Linked DNA regions of Drosophila melanogaster. The protein of the gene in region 2 purifies or fractionates together with the protein of the main gene of each other region. This does not show direct contact. Each region holds a gene or a part of one and is shown on either strand. Other genes may lie near its edges. The genes, in order: mRpL23 and mRpS30.

Evidence for each region.
Region 1: the proteins of mRpS30 (region 2) and mRpL23 purify together in Drosophila melanogaster (affinity purification with mass spectrometry, with the first as the bait; one large-scale study listed by BioGRID). This does not show direct contact.

What each region holds. Positions count from the first base shown.
Region 1 is NT_037436.4:2,368,805-2,377,384, forward strand, and holds mRpL23 (mitochondrial ribosomal protein L23), read right to left. Parts: upstream 4,901-8,580; 5' UTR 4,881-4,900; intron 4,875-4,880; exon of another isoform or gene 4,793-4,874; intron 4,698-4,792; exon of another isoform or gene 4,641-4,697; 5' UTR 4,619-4,640; coding exon 4,325-4,618; intron 4,264-4,324; coding exon 4,105-4,263; 3' UTR 4,040-4,104; downstream 1-4,039. Other genes in the region: CG1317 (uncharacterized protein), read right to left, coding at 1-1,244, 1,302-2,858; CG8993 (uncharacterized protein), read left to right, coding at 3,478-3,659, 3,722-3,968; CG9004 (uncharacterized protein), read left to right, coding at 4,992-5,871, 5,925-7,609; CG15877 (uncharacterized protein), read right to left, coding at 7,740-8,416, 8,472-8,580.
Region 2 is NC_004354.4:15,781,201-15,790,019, reverse strand, and holds mRpS30 (mitochondrial ribosomal protein S30), read right to left. Parts: upstream 3,974-8,819; 5' UTR 3,849-3,973; coding exon 3,391-3,848; intron 3,227-3,390; coding exon 2,011-3,226; 3' UTR 1,732-2,010; downstream 1-1,731. Other genes in the region: Paf-AHalpha (Platelet-activating factor acetylhydrolase alpha), read left to right, coding at 4,960-5,355, 5,424-5,705; Efhc1.1 (EF-hand domain containing 1.1), read left to right, coding at 6,386-6,436, 6,495-7,042, 7,099-7,372, 8,013-8,819.

The DNA.
Region 1 (8,580 bases), on a different chromosome or scaffold from region 2:
CCCACCAGGTACTTATCCACCTTGATGGACAGATAGAGCTTCTTCAGCTGATCGATCTGGAACAAAAGGATGCATATGCTGCCCACCACAATGAAGCTTACGGGATACACGAGCCGTGCGACGACATGCTGAGCATAGGCGTCCGCTAGGAAAATCGGAAACATCATATGTGCCATGACATAGGGTATGGCCAGGGCCAGACCAATGGTAGTAACGACCGGCACAGCCAAGTCTCGCATCACAAACTTCAAGTCGAAATCGCGCAATCCATCCATGTAGGCTCGATCTAATGCACGCTTCAAGTGCCAATCTGGGCCCATCATCGTCAAGGCGATGGCTATCTTGCAGTAGAGCACTCCCAGCGCCCAATCCTCCCATAGGAAGTGGATTGGTGTCTTGCGTAGTGGAACGCGTAGGGGAATGACCACCGCCAACTCGATCAGCAATCCAATCAGCAACGGAACCAGCACGAAGATTCCCAGGAGTGTTAGAACGGGCAGGGCATATTGCAATGCCACTCGGACCCAGTGCTTTATCTTGTCGACAATAGCCGCGCGGCCTTGTGGCAGCAGGGTGACCACCGCAGCTACTACCCGGCAGACAATCCAGCACAGGTAACCACCAAGCTCAGCGGTGTACAGCTCATGCGAGCGCAGTAGTCGCTCGTTCTTTCTGGCTCCTTCCGGATCGATTGGATCTAGATTTTCAACCACTTCGCCCGCTCCTTCTGCGGCTGCCGCTCCAGCTGCCTTCTCATCCGGCTGGGAGGACCAGATCAACATCAGCCGCCGACCGATGTAGACTGGAACCGTGAGCGTCAACATGGCAGCACAAACGATGGACAAACACATGAGTGCCAACAGGGCACACAAACGTAAAGCGAACAGCGATGGCTTGTCGTACGGCTGGAATCCCACGGGTGCATCCCGTTGCATGATGGCCTGATGGGCGGCGGCAAGGTTTCGTGGTGCCGGCGCCGGTTCCACTGGCGGTGGCGGTGGAGGAGGTGGTGCTGGTGGTTGGGCTGCCGCATCCGCTGCCTCACCTTCCTGGTTTTCATTTTCGCCAGCGGCATTCTCCACGCCTTCTTCTCCAGCAGCGGGAATTTCCGGTTCCGGCTCCGGTGCTGGGAGCAGGTAGCTTCGTATGCCCAGCAACCAGGCCACCGCTGTGCACCAAATGCGCAGCAAGCCCTTTAGCCAGATGCGTGTTTGGGTCTGCTCGAAGAAGCCCGGCAAAACGATCTGGAATGGCGAGTTTAGATTGTTTAAGTTATTCAAATAAGTTTGCGGGTAACTTACTTGTAAGAGCAGCAATTGCAAGTTAACCGCTGAATCGCCACTAAGTGCATATGGCAAGAAGTCCGGACAAACCACCTGCAGAATTCTAATGGGCAGCCAGAGCATCAAGAGCACTGCAAATCCAAAGATCATAGCCGAAGCGACCAGCCGCCGGATGTGTCTCACAATTGGTACATGGATCATTTCCTGGATGGGACTGAAGTCAGGATCGTTGACATTGCGGAATATCCAGAGCACTCCCGGTCGCAGCACCTCGCGCAACAACGATACAAACGCAGCGAAGTAGTAAACGTATACCATGCCAAACATCCAGTGGACAAAAAGTGAGGTGCCCGGAGCAGCCTTAAAACTCTCTTTACGATCCTTGAGGCTGGCATCTAGTAGGGGCAACGAACAAATGTCCAGCCACCAGCCGCAAATCAGCGGGAGTACTCCGATCTCCAACACCGACAGCAGCGACACCTTGACCACAATATAGCACAATCCAATGAACCAGCAGACTCTCCGCAGGCGGAAAACTCTGGAGAAGAAGTGCAGCACCACCAGGGTCAATCCAATGCAGCAGTAACCAAATAGCGTGGTAATCAGGCCGTGAAAGTGTAGCAGTGGTTTCTCGGGCTGCAAAAGATCCATGGAGCTCAGAATGAAGTTGCCCACGCAGTAGGGACAAAAGGCGAAGGTGAAGATGAACATGGTGTTCAGTGAGATGATCCAGAAGACGTGCTCCAGAAAAACTAGCGAGCCATCGAGTCCGAGCAGGCGTTCCCAGGTAAGCTCCTCGGCAGCCCGATCCCACTCCATGGGATTCCAATTCTGCTCATCGGCATCGGCGTCCACGACGGGAGCTGCAGCCGCTGGTGCGGCATCCTGGGCCTGGGCATCCTGCCCATCGTTGTCCGCTGGAGCCGGCGCTTCATTGTCGTCGGCATTGTTGTTGTCGTCCTGAGGCTGTGGAGCTGCCTCGGCGGCGGGATCAGGCGCAGGATTAGCAGCCGCTGCCTGTAGAGGGGCATCGTCCCGCTCCAGCCAATCGGGTCCGCCGCCATGCAGGATCTGCTCGCGCAGCCAGACCAATCCTATGAAGGACAAAAGTGTGCATGTGACCACAAAACAGCCCCGAAAGGCATCCGATGCCAGGTTTTCAACGGAGAAGATGTCAAAGGGCAGCGTGAGAATCATATCGAAGGAGCTCGCCCGGAAGAGGTACCGATAGGTCCTGTAGGCAGACAGCGGCACCACTCCGAACCAGGCCAAACCGACCAGGGTGTAATGAAGCCAGCAGCGAGCGCCCTCCAAAACGGCGGACATCAGTCCCACAAGGACATCCTTTATCGGCAGGACTCGCGGCATATCCGGAGCATAGATGGGCTGAAAGCTGAAGCTGTAGCTGCACAGCTCGCAGTATTCCTTGTGCGAGTAGCGCATCCATAACATCAGGCAGTCCTGATGAATGTACTTGATCGATCCAGTGCAGATGCACGGGTAGAAAAGAGGCCTATCCGGCTGTGCCTCGCATCTGCACACGCGGCAAATGTCGCCCTGCGACAGGTCGTCCATACTGATAACTTTTTCCCGGATCCTGGGTCTTCAGTTTGACTGAATTACTAAAGTTCCACTGGTCATTTGCGAAATTCGCTGGACAATTTCCGTAATTGACCCGAGGGTACGGGGGTTTTAAGACGATTATACCCGCCTTTTATGTGCGCCAATTAACCTTTCGATGATTACGGACCGTAATGCGATTGTAACACTTGAATTTTAACCGAAAAGTTGGGATATTATTACGACAAAACAAAACAAGACTACTTCTCAAAAAAAGGAGAGCCAATGTGTGCACACCATGAAATTGCTGATTATTTTCTCAACGGAGATGCCAACTAGTTCGATAGATTGAGAGAACGAAATATCGTTATTCATTTTTTAATCATAAATTGAAAATTAAAAAAGATTACATAGTTATGGTTAATAAATATAAGTTTTTAACTTAAATAATATAAAACAAAATTATCATGACCGGGAAGTAACAGTTAATGAAACAGTGTGTGCACACATCATTAGGCAATACCAATCCATCTGGCAACCCCACCACACTCATTGTTGTTGTTCTGATTCTCTTGTCATTATTTTGCAATCAATCGCTGAACTTTTTGCACTGAGAAATTGTAGAAAATAAGCCATGCAGCGACAGATTATTAACATTCTGGGACAGACGACGCGTCGCCTGGCTAGCGGCCAGCAAATTCGCATGCTGTCAGTTTCTGCGCCGCGACAGGAGATCTTCAAAGTCCAGAGCGCCGAGGACTTTGACAAGAAAGTAAAGAACAGCCAGCAGCCCGTGATTGTGGACTTCTTCGCAACGTAATTTTTATATTTTCAATTTGAGGACATGGCAAATTAATGTTTATATTGTAATCCACCAGCTGGTGCAATCCCTGCAAGCTGCTAACCCCGCGCATCGAGAGTATTGTGGGCGAACAGGCCGGTTCCATCAAGCTGGCCAAGGTGGACATAGATGAGCACAGCGAACTGGCTCTGGACTACGATGTGGCCGCCGTGCCCGTGCTAGTGGTGCTGCAGAACGGCAAGGAGGTGCAGCGCATGGTGGGACTCCAGGACGAGGACAAAATCCGGGCCTGGGTTGCCGCCGCCGTCAAACAGGCCAAGTAATAATTGAGAAATCCCAAAAAAAAAGTGGAGGTTGACCTCCTCGCAAATAAAGCTGAGCTTTAGGTTAATTCGGACTTTCGAAATAAATGTTTATTTACCCGTTGAAACGAAAAGTACTACGATTACACACTAAAAACTAAATGGAAAACCAGCCCGGCGTGCCGGGTCGCTTCTTGTTCCTGTCCAGAAATCTGCGGAAACCGGCTTTCGATTCATCCAGCGACTTTTCCTCCTTGGCCTGCTTCTCAGCCTTTTCGGAAAAGAAGTCGGGGAAGACAAAGGACTCCTCCCTGGGCTGGAATACACAAATATCATTGGAAATATCCATTGAATCAGGGGCTTGTAGTGGGCCATACCAATGTTACATAAGCCAGCTTCACGTCGTCTTTTTTGGTGATGTAGCCGTAGGTCTGATCCTTCTTGGTCTCGCCCATGGCAATCCGAGTACGCACATCCACCACCGGCAGCTTGTAGATCTTCTCCAGATAGTTACGCACATCGTACTTGGTCATTTCCATGGACACCGAAAAAGTGACCACATTGGGTGGCTGTTCCTCCGTGGGTCGGATTAGCTTCATCCAGAAGTTGGGAAGGAAAACGCGAAGCTGCGGATTGCCGCGCTGATAGATGGGATACCACCTCGTGGACATGATCTAGCCAGGATCTAAGATTCTAATTCAAGAATACAAAAATTAAATTAATTGTTGTGCGTTTATGAAATGCACTAAAAAAGGCCAAAGGTTTCGGGCGGACACAGGCGTAGCAAGGGGGTCGCATAAGATTGTTAACTAAAACTTAACGTATATATTAATTTAAGTTATTACGCTGTAACTATAAAATATTCCACACTTTTACCACTTTTAAAAAATAATATCACTAAATCTAGATTCCTCTCAAAGAACTGTTACCTACACCCGTGTAAAAGCACGTGGGTTGTCCAACACTTGTTTTAAACAGCTGATTGTCAACCACAACAATTTTTAAATTCGGTCCGGCTGAAATCTCTGGTAAAGGCCGTTTAAAATGGCAAAAATAAAGAAAAAGGAGGCGAAAGCTAAACCTTTGACTCGCAAGGAGCAGAGAAAACAGAAGTCGGAGTTCAAAAAACAGAATAAACGACTTTATTTCGCCGGCAAAACTAACGGAACACAGCGCGTGGCGGCGGCGGCAGAGGCGTTGGCAGCGCAGTCGCAGCTGGGCAAAAACAAGAAGAAGAAACGGAGCAAGAAGCCCAAAATAATAAATCCAGATGAAATACCCAAGGAGCAACTTTTGTCCGGTGAAATAGACAGCGACGATGACGAGTCCATAGATTCGGATTTCAGCGATGCGGAGGTGGATGCTCTGCTGCCCGCAAGGGAAAAGATGGAAGTCTATGAACCTCTGGGAAAAAAGGTCAAGAAAACGACAGGAGGCGCCATCCAAAGACAGGATGAAGAGGCGGTCAGGCGGAAGGAACTGCGCCAGCAAAAGGAACTGGAGAGCAAGTCCAAGAAGCAGCGAATCAAGCAACTTCGCATAGAGAACGAGGAGGATGATCGCGAGATCAACAAGCTGGAAAAGAAGCTGAAGCTCAACAAATCCAAGGACAAAAACCGCTTGGTGCGGAAGATGTTCAATGATGGCCTGGACTACCTGCTTGACTTTGTCCTGGATGACGAGGAGGAGAAGCGGAAGTGGGAGGAGAAGCAGGAACGTAAGAAAAAGCTGAAGGAGCAGCAAGAAAAGGAGGAGGCGGGAATGTGGAGCGATGAGGAAGAGGATAAGGAGGACAGGGATGAGCCCATGGATAACTTCTCAGAAGATGACAGTGGCTCTGAGGGTGAAGATGATGATGAAGACCTAACTGGAGAGGAAGAACAAAGCGAGGAGGATTCGGAGCAGGAAGAGAATGCACCTAAGAGTGAGTACATTCATCGTTTAGAGTTTTTCATTTAATTAACGAATTAATTACAGTTAAAGAGGACATCTACGGACGCAAACGCGACGCCGAGGGAAACATCCTGCCTGATCCCGTGGAGCTCGAGGCCTCAGCCGCCGGTCAAAAGTACATACCGCCACATCAGCGAGCTTTGATGGCAGCCAGCGCGGGATCAAGTGAAAAACAGGCAGAGATACTAGCTCGCCTTCTAAAGCAATGCAAGGGTCTGCTCAATCGTTTGTCAGAAGCGAATCTGCACAAGATTGCCGCCGGCATCGAGGAGCTGTACATGAAAAACTCCCGCTACAACATGAACGAAACACTAACCAAGTTAATTCAAGAAGCCCTTCTCGGCTACACGCGAACCAACGAGCGAATGGTACAGGAACACATGGTGCTGCTGGCCTACCTACATGCCCAGGTTGGCAGCGAGATTGGAGCGCATTTCCTGCAGACTTTTGTGGAGTTATTCGATGGTTATGTCAAGAACATCGCTACCCTGGAGGTGGAGGATAAGCAGCTGAATAACCTAGTACTGGTGCTCTGCTACATGTACCTCTTCAAGATCTACGAGCTGAATTTGCTGATGGAGCTCATAGGCAAATTGTCAGATCAGCTTTGCGAGAAGAGCGTGGAGTGCCTTTTGCTGATCTTCCAGTCCATTGGCTTCCGGCTGCGCAAGGACGATCCACTGGCCTTTAAGACCATGATGCAAAAAGTTCAATCGCAAATTGCTAGTGCCCCACTGGAACTGAAAGAGAATCCACGCCTGCGTTTCATGGTCGATATTCTAAATGCAGTCAAAAACAACAATATGCAAAAGCTGCCGCAGTATGATCCCGAGTTGGCGGAGAATCTGCGAAAGCGTTTGAAGGCCATGCTGAAGAATGATCGCTACGTGGTGACTCTGAACATAACCCTGGAGGACCTCCTGCGTGCTGATAAAGTGGGCAAATGGTGGATTGTGGGCTCTGCCTGGACGGGAAATCTGGATGAGATGGGATCCGCCAAGCAAAAGCAGGATAAGAACTCATCGAAGTCTGCCAACGGAGGTTTTGCGGATCAGCTACTGGAGCTGGCCAGAAAGCAGCAGATGAACACAGCCGAAAGGAGGAATATCTTCTGCATCATCATGAGCGCCGCCGATTATGTGGACGCCTTTGAGAAGATTCTGCATTTGTCTCTGAAGGACCAGCGAGCGGTGGCCTACGTGATCATCCATTGCGCTCTGAATGAGAAGCGTGCTAACCCCTATTACGCTCATTTGGCACTTAAGTTCTGTCAATTCAACAGAAAGTATCAACTGGCTTTCCAGTTTGCCAGTTGGGACAGAATCAATGATATCGAAAAGCTTTCCAAGCCGCAGATTCGCAACCTGGCTAGTTTTCTGCAGCAAGTAATCCTAGCTGCTGGTCTGCAGCTGTCAGTGCTCAAAGTAGTCGACTTTATGCAGCTGGACAAGCTCAGCTTTTACTTTATGAAGGAAGTGATGGTCAGGCTGCTTTTGGCTAACGATGAACGCGAGATTTATCAGACGTTCGAAAGAGTTGCCAAAAACACCAAACTGCAGCAGTTTAAGCAAAGCGTAAGGCTCTTCCTGCAGCATTTTCTTTTGCAAGAGGAACAGCTGGACAAACTTAAGCTGAAGGACGAGGATCGACAGCTTCTGCAGCAGCGCGTTGATCACATAGACAAACTTTTAGCCTATGTGGACCTGTAGTTATAAGTTGTAAATTTGTAAAATATTCATAATGAGGATGCTATAAAACAAATAAAGGACAAGTTTTTGTAAAATAGGAAGGCATGTGTAATTTATTCCTAAGGCAAAAATTAACAACTAACATAATAAACTAGTCGAAGCTTTGGAGGAGATCGCGTGCCCGCCGGTACTGCGTGGACTCGATTAGCTTTCGCCTTTCCGCCTCGTCCTCCAGCTTTTCGCCCTCCTTGTCCAGTTTCTGGATCACCTCCTCGGCCAACTGACTGATCTTTGAGCGCGCTGCTCCCTGGGAACTGGCCAAATACTCCAGAGCAGTTGGCCACAGCTCGTCATCCAGTTTCTCCACATCAAAGGCGGTTTGTTGTATGGAAATCTGTCGCAGTTTGTTGAACTTCCAATCCTGGCGGGATTCCTTCCATTTTAGAAGATATTCCTTGTTGACTTTGGCATCTTTGTTGGAGCTCTGACTCTTTTGGGCCTCGAGGCGCTGCTGGTGCTTCTGTTTCTTCTTTTGGCGCACTGTAACCACTGCATAAGCGTTCTCCGGACGAGCTGCTTCTTTTAGTTGCGCTGCTGTGGGCTGGGAGTCCACATCGTCGTCTTCATCCGAGTTATTTTCCTGCGTTTTGCTGCGTTTCAGCTTTTTGGTTTCGTTGGCATCCTGGACTTGTTTTCTCTTCTGAGGCTTCTGAGGAAGACTTTCATCGCTTCCACTGGTGGCCACCTGCTCCTCCGCTTGGTTTTTCCTGCTTTGTTTCTTAGTGGCCGATACTTCTGATTCTTTATGCCGCCTCTTGGCGGGTTTATCTGTAAATGTTGGACATGTTACACAAAGCCGATATAGATTTGAGCTGAAACACACCTGTTGGAACCTCCTGTTGATCTACCTGTGGAGCTAGAATTAGACTTTTGTTGGCCACCTCGTCGTCGCTGGCCGCATGCTCAGGGTTCTTAGTCACCTCGTGCTTGCG
Region 2 (8,819 bases):
CGTATGTATGCACAACATGAGTAGCTAAAGATAGAACCGCATTTCTTCTTCTTTTTTAGCTTTAGGAGGTCAAACTCATCAATCGCCTTAACGGTTTTCGATTCGAGCGAGCCATTTAAGCAGCGCCAAACATCAACATATTATAACCGTCATGGCACTGCTCCAGGGCAAACTCAACTTGAGATATCGTGAATAAACACATTGGATTGCAATGGCATTATTTAATAGAACATTAGAGACTTACAAAGTGTCCGAATATTAAAGGGTTTGAGCATAAACGAAGACTTAAACATGTCAAGATCATAAAAGTCAGTTCATATCTATAAAAAGTGTGTGCCAAGAACTGGAATTCTGGGACACCGAGATATGACGCTTGTGATCGAACTGTATTTCTGGGACAGGCCGCTCGAAAACAATAGGAATTAACTGCCATTCGGTTGTTTTGTCGTTAATTCTCTTTTTGTTTCAACTAAACTATACACACATGCAAGCACGTCGGTTGGCTGGAGATTTCGATGTTGATTTCACGTATTCATGAGATCGCAGAATGCAAAGCATAAATACAGTGTTTTATCGGATTGCTCGCGATCGGAGGGGGAGGAATAGACATAGATATGGATATATATATATATATATACACATAGACATAGATATAGATGTAGACAAATATGTGGTTGGCCACTGGTTTCACTATTTTACACTGGCATTCCAGAGAGTCCATGGCATATATTTATGATAATCCGTGCTTGTTCCACATCATCAGTAGCATACTTTTGTACTACTGGTATGTTATGGCATAATTATTATACACATATTTACACGCCTTACAACTTTATAAGCTCGATGGACTCGACAAAAAAAGAAGCAAATAACCGAGAAATACACTTGTTTGCCCACAAATGCTCACCGTATCCACATACTCCACGATCAATATTCAAGATTTTTCAGCACTTGCCCAACGGAATTTCGACTCAATATCAGTTGGGTTCGACTTGTCTGCACTACACTTTCCACTATTACCAAAAAAAAAAGAAATATATATGCAACAGGTTACTGCTCTACCTTTTTGGACAACCGAAGCGCCAGATACGAGTTTCCGAACCACCGTAAAGTCTCAAACTGGTTATTTACTCGAGCCTAACTATTCAGATCCAGTGTGACCGTCGCACGGCCGTTATAACATACCATACGGTTAGCTGGGACGTTACCGAAATAACCAACAAGTGGTAACTTTTTCAGCAATCCTAACTTTGATGTAGTGGACTATAAAGCTATTATCGTAAATGTAAAACTACTATAATAAATGGGATAATAAAATAATCAAGTAATTAATTAATGCATACATATTACCAGACTAAGTAAGAGTTTGAAGTGTACTTATATGGAATATCATATAAACCTTAGTGCACTATTATGTTCAAACAATATATGATTTGGTAAAAAGATTTAAACTACACTATAGCATTATAAACCTTTTTTACGTTCGAAAAATATGGTTCTGGTGCAGTGTAACCGCATTTTACCCACTTTTTGAGATAACTTCGGTATGTTTGCAGTGCTGATAAATGAAATAAACAATGGAATCTAGAATAAATATGTGCTGCATAAACAATTAAATAATGATAAGAAGCATTGCATTGGCAAGTTTTAGCATCATCAGCACTAATAATTGGCAAAATTCCAGGTATTTGTATAATCATATCTATTTGAAAGAATTTAAGATAAAAAAGACTAGCTTATAAATTTACAGAAGTGTTTAACCACAAGCATAACAAAGTTAATAAATATATATACTTTGTATGGCATAGAATTTAAATTGAAATTTAACAAAATATTTATATTAAAAATCATTAACATACTGACAAAAGTTTGCGGAAAATTGAGTTAATCAAAGTTTAAAGAAACTTTGTACACCGTTTCGTTGCTCCGAATCTGCAATCCAGTATTTCACATTAAAAATTCAGCATTTTTAACAAGTGTAACCTTAGGAAGTGTTTTATATTTATTCATTTAAGGGTAGTACGTCTTCTTGAACCTGTTCTTATTCTTAGGGACGTCTGGTCGGACCGCACGTGGAACATACTCCTTGTCATGTGTGTCCAGCGTTCGCTGCCAAGGATTGATGTCCAGCTCGAAGAAGCGTCTCTTAGCCTCCATGGCACGATTGTTGTTATCGATCTTGTATAGCTTCTCCCACAGGTAGATTTCGGGCAGCTCCAAGTGTCGCGGTCGGTTTGATGCCAAATATTTGAAGGTCTTATTGATAAAGTCACGCTGTTCGGCGTTCTCATAGGCGGAAACGTCGGAGGCAACATACGGCTGCTGCTCCCCAATGCTCCGCTGAATCGATGGCGCATTGGCATAGAAATTGAGCAGGTGCCGCAGTGCGTTATCGTTGAAATCAACGCACTTGCCGCTTGCCGAAATCTCGGCGTACAGTGGAAGTGGCTTTGTACCGCGACAGAAGTTGACACGGGGATTTTCCGCCACGTTTGTGCCGTGCAGCAGCAGCGTATTAAGCTGATACTCATAAAAGCTCCATTCCCTGCCGTTCGTGATCACAGTTTGAGTGTTCATGGGATAGGTCAGTTCGTTGTAGGTGTTGAAGCCATTGTAGTTCGCCTGGGCCAAAAGCCAGGCGTATGACGATTTAATCGCCAGCGAATGCAATGCCTCCAGCTGATCCTGCTCGCCGAACGATTTCGGACGGATCTGCAGGTGTGCACGCGATTGAAATGAGAGCAGGCCGAAGTTATTCTCATTTCCTTTGGGCCAATAGCCTGGCACATTGGTGGCGTGCTGATGCTTGGTGCTGTAGCCGAGGGTTCGCGGGTCGTGCTTGAAACGGGGCAGCTGTTTGCTCAGCTCGAGGTTTTCGCTTTCCGCTTCCGTTTTCCACGGCGTCAATTGCTTGCGATGGCGTAGGGCAAGATACGGCGCTCCCGTATACTGAACCATCCGATCAACGCTCTCGTTTGCCATATCCTTTTGCCATTCCCGGCCCTTCTTCGATTTCTGCACGTTCTTGGGAGGATCTACGCCGCCAACGGCCCAGAACGCTTCGTGGCGTGGATTGTAGTCGACATCGAGCTCATCCAGGTGCTTGTACTCCTCGCTGAGCGACTGCAGCAGAGCTCTGTTCAGCTGTTCTACAATGATCTGCGTTAGGATGCGCTCACGTTCAACGGGGTTCGATTCGGCAGAGTTGTGTTGCTTTTCCAGATGCCTACGCTTGGTAATGGAGGAGAATGAATACATTAATATCAGACGGTCGAACTTGTAACTGGGACCACTCCAACCAATCCGAGTTCTTAAGTGAGTTGGACCAACTACTGTCCACAAACTCGCCGGAGAACTTGGTTCGTTGAAAGCGGACCTCGTTGTACCCACTTGTAGTAGTCGTGGGCAAACTCGAGGGCATCAATAACATCCCCGCGAGCCGCCTTGAAAAGACCATCCACGCTCGGCTGCTCCTGCTCCTGCTCGGAGTCCTTAGCCTGTGCCTTCTTATCCGTTTCAGATGGCAAATCCTCGAGCACTGTGCGCGTATAATGTTGCGTGAGCGGCAGTGCATTGTAGGGGATTTTCGAGTCGTTGAAGTCGACCACCTTGAAGCCGTAATAGCGGGGCATATTGATCTTGATCATCTTCTCCTCCACCGTCGGCACCTGCCGGATTTCCTCGTGCCAGTTGGCCGCATCCTTCTGCTTGCGCGCCTTGAAGGACAGATCCTGAATCTCCGGATATGCCGGCTCTGCGTCCGTACTATTCAGCTGCAGCTGCGACTGGCCGGACAAACAGCGCTTGTACGTCGTTCGCAGATGGCGAACACGGTTAAGCTTCAACATGCCGTCGAACCTAACGCAAGTTACGATTTATGTTTTCGAAGGAATAGAATTGACTTCAGTTTTTTGACAATAACTAGGTTATGTCATTGCTGCAGTGTGACCGCACGCTGGATTCAGAATAGGTTGCGCCAAGGTAGCGACGGAAAGTTTTGCGATGCCAGTGAAAGTAATGGTATAATTTCTATTTATGCAGTTCAATAATAATTCATAATGAATCATAGTCCTTTACTATTTAACGTGTAGGGGTACAAAATTTAACTTGCTTATGTTTCAAATCTTTTTATTTCTGAAATCAGTTATAAATCATCGTAATATTTTTTAAGCTGTCTAGAAAAAGCTAAAAAATAGTCTTGTTTCATTTGGTATATTTTCCCCTTGAAATAATGGCATATGGCTTAAAGGCACATGCCTTAAAAATCACAATTGTAAACTTAAATCAACAGAGATCAAAATAATTAACAGACTTCTCTGCGATAACGCTTTTGACAATTTTGAATAAAATGCACGTTACAAACAGTAACATATGTGACCGTGTAACGTTTTCGATAACGTATCCCACATCTTTTTCAGCTGTGCCAAGTGCAACATTGCTAGACAACACTTTCCAGCCCTGGAAAAATACCAAGACATCTACCATCTCTCTAAAAACGAAAACATAAACGCTTACCAAGAAAATCGTAGATTTTCTACACCAAATTAAAATAAACTTATAAAAATTTTCAACCTTAAATCCTTGGCAATTTCCATGTACACGAGGGTGGCCACATAATTCTACGACATTTACGGATGTTAATGTTGAGGTAACCTAAAACACAAAAAAAAAAAAACAAAAAAAAAATCTTCGCCATAAAAACGATTTATTAAAGTAAACAACGGTACGGAGTTGTTTATGCTAGCGACTATCAGTTCAATTGTTTGTCCACGACTGCAACGCTGTCACTGCAAGCCGAGCAGAACGCCCAAGTATCCGGTAAGACTAAGCCGCAGACGATGCCTCATTCATCCGCATGCTGAAACTGCAACTGAATCGAAATCGAAATAGGAATAGGAATCGGAATCTTTAACTAAAACTCAATATTGGTCTGCAACTGAGTCTGAGCACGCCGACGAAATGAATCCCTGTGTGCTGCCCACCCCATTGCCCGATCTGGATGGCGACAAGCGTTGGCACAGCATACATCGCCGGTTCATCTCCGATTGCCGCGAAAAGGATCCGGATGTGATATTCCTCGGCGACTGCATCTTCGAGACCGTCCAGGACACGGAGGCCTGGAATAAGTACTTTGCGCCGCTGCACTGCCTTAACTTCAGCATTCGCGACGACTGCACCGAGCACGTACTGTGGCGCATCGAAAACGGTGCGCTGGACAATGTGAATCCCAAAATCGTCGTCCTCCATGTGGGCACCAATAATGTGCGGAACAGCGCGGAGGAAGTGGCCGAGGGTGTGCTCGCGAACGTAACGAAAATCCGGCAAAAGCTGCCCAACGCCTATATCGTTTTGCCCGTAAGTACAATAGTTGTGGTATTAGCCAGCCGCAGTAAATCATCGACATTCCCATCTCTCCCTTGCAGTCGCTACTGCCGCGTGGCCAGCAGCCCAATAAGTTGCGCGAAAAGAATGCCAAAATCAACGAGGTGGTCAATGGATTGACCAAGGGCTTGTATCGCGTCCAGACGGTGGCCATTGACAAGGGTTTGGTCCAGACCGACGGCAGTATCAGTCATCACGATATGTTCGACTATAAAAATCTAACCAATGCTGGAGCGAAAAAGATATTAGAACCACTCTACGATCTGCTTTCTCAAATTCTCAACGAAAACGAACCTGAAAACGATCTCACCCCCTCCGAATAAAAGGAATATCCAGCAGCTATCCATTATATATATACATACATGCATACATACACACATACATATACCACAAACAATTCCCAGAATATAACTTAAAACCAGAAATGTATTTTTTGAAATCTCATAAGCTATAGAGCTGCGAGACTAACTCACAATTAAGCATACATTTTTCGTATCGAATAGTAAACCATCGCATATACCATTGCATTATGATATTATTTTACATTGTATTTATAAGAAAAGAAAAAAAACCGAAATGACTGTCATTGGGTAAAATAGAAGTTATCTTCAAGCATCAGACATTCATGGATTTTCGCTAGCATTCGTTTTTTTTTACGTTTTCCGTTTGATCACCCACAAATTAACTTTTGTTTGATATATTGACAGTATTCTTGTATTTTATTACTATTTTATGCATTGACAATAAGAAGTAAAGTTTAATGCAAACCGTGGGAGACGTTTGATAAGTGTACACGTAGTGGATTTTTTAAAAGAGGCCAAATCTATAAATAGGAAGTATGCGGACCTGGAGAAATAAAAAAAAGAGTAGGCTCCGCAGGATCTGGACTTAAATTTTCTTCAATAGTGCTCTGTATTACATTTAGAGCGTACACCAAATATACAAAATATTTCCAAAGAGAAAAGGTCGAAAACGGGTCAATAATTCACATAAAATATATACAATGCTGCGCATTCCTGGAATGCCCCTTCTTCCGGGGACTCTCTTTCGCGATGTAAGTACTTCGGATTGAACATCAATTGGGATTAGATATACATCTATGCGAGTAACAGGTATCCAAGGGACATTACCCCAAACCGCAATCGCTGGCCAATGTCCAAGGTCTGAGCATGCTGAGTGATCGCCAGCAACCGGCTCCTGTGGAATCGGGCAGCGTTACGGTGGACATAAGCTGTCCCCCAGTTGGGGCGTCCTCCATATATCCGCCACGTTCGGGTCCCCGTATGCCTCCATGGCTGGCGTATGACAAGAAGGTGCTGTGCTTCCATGCCTACTTCAAGCAAACCCTTCAGGAGGTCTACCATGCGCCCTATCTGGTGCGCAAGGTTAAGATCTACTACTATCTGGAAGATGGTACTTTAGAGATCTACGAGCCCCGGGTGGACAACTCGGGAATTGTGCAGGGATGTGTAGTTCATAGGCAGCGGGTCCAGAAGGCGCCGCCGTGCGATAATGAGTTCATGTCCCTCATCGATCTGAACGTGGATCAGACTGTTCAGATATTTGATCGTCAGTATCATATCACCGATTGCGATCCGTTCACAAGAACTTTCTTAAACAAACGCGGCATAACCGTTCCCGATCCGGTCAAATCGCCATGGTAAACGATATTTGAATCTCGGAAATTACCCATTTATAATGTCCATTCTCATATAGCGATCCCACCGAGGAGCAACGAAAGCGTGAAAACCAACCGCGATCTGGTAATTTAATCCCAAAGAATCATCCGTTTGCCCAGTTCCTCAAGTACGATAGGCAAATACTCAAGTTCCAGGCGTACTGGGACGATAGAACCGAGTTCGGAGACGTACGCAAGCTGGAGCTGTGCTACTATCTCTCCGACGATACCATCGAAATCAAGGAGCAGCACATTCGCAACTCAGGTCGCGACGGCCCAACCGTTTTTCTTAAACGCGGGCGCTTAGCTCGAGTAAGTAAAAATAAGTATAGATGGTACTGGTATTTACCATAACGACTTACAATACGATATTAGCAAAGTAAATTGGGATGTTGTAGCCCAGATCCCAAGATGTTTGAGATAGGTTGGTTTACATGATATCTTCTTGGGATTCCTTCTATTGAACTTTTGTAGTTTCGGATCTCTTGATATTTGAAATCTTCCAATTTCCCTATAAACCTGTAGATATAATTAAGAGTGTAGGTAATTAACCTAATTAGCTGTGCAAAACTGTAATATTGACCAAGTTATATCGTATTCATGTCATAATATCGTATTTTTGCCATATTTATACATATTTTTAAGGAAAAACTATCCGTTTTTTTACATTAGCAATAAAAAAAGTGGAATGTCATACCTCGTTGAATTCGTAACCAAATTCACCATCGATCTGTTTTCAAAATTGCAAATTTTAACTTTTTGCCATTTTCACATATTTTGCTGATTCAAAAATTTGTAAAAAAATGGATTTTTAAAACTCAACATGAAAATTACACATGTAGTAAGATCCGTTTATTAGCCGCATAAAACAGTTCTTTCTTTTAGTTATGATGGAAAATCTGTTCGCAAATATCATATTTTATGATTAATACTATATATCTGTTTTTGGTAGGAGTTCGAAGGACTCCAGCTGCCAGGACAGATGACCCCGATGACGCTACTGAACGTCCTGGGCACCAACATGCGCAACGTGCGCTACTGCGTGGATCCGCTGAACACTGGAAACAAGGAGATTCATTACTATAGGGAAAAGGATCTCCAGATAGGCAGTGTGATAAACGTGTATGGCCGTGCGGTGGTGATAACCGAACTGGATCCCTTCACCCAGAACTATTACCGCCAGCGATATGGCATACAGGATTTTACCCCACTGCCGATCCCCGCCAGATCCGATGATTGTGCTGACCATAGATCGGAACGACAATTGCCACCGTACAATGGATGGGGTAGCTACGAGGATTCGGTGGGCAATTGCATATCGGTCGAACCGAAGCCGCCAAAGTCCGATTTCAAAAAGTTCATCAAATACGATCGTTATGTGCTCCGCTTTGGCGCCAAAATGCTCTCGACCATCAAGGCGAATTGCGAGCGAATCTTTGTGATTAGCTACTATCTATGCGATGATACGCTGCAAATCCAGGAGATCGCCGTGCGGAACTCCGGATTCCTCGGTGGTGAGTTCATGAAGCGCACACGCTTGGAGTTGCCTGGCCAGGAGAGGTTCTCATGCAAGCAGCCGCAGTACTATATGCCATGGAACTTCTTTGTCGGATCGACTATGTCGCTGAAGGACTTCATTTTTCACATAGTCTCGGCGGACGAGTACACGCTTATGTACATGGAGCACCATCCGGAGATCTTTCCCCATGCGAATGTGGGTGTGATCATGGAGAAGGTGAAGAGTGCCCTGCAGAATCGC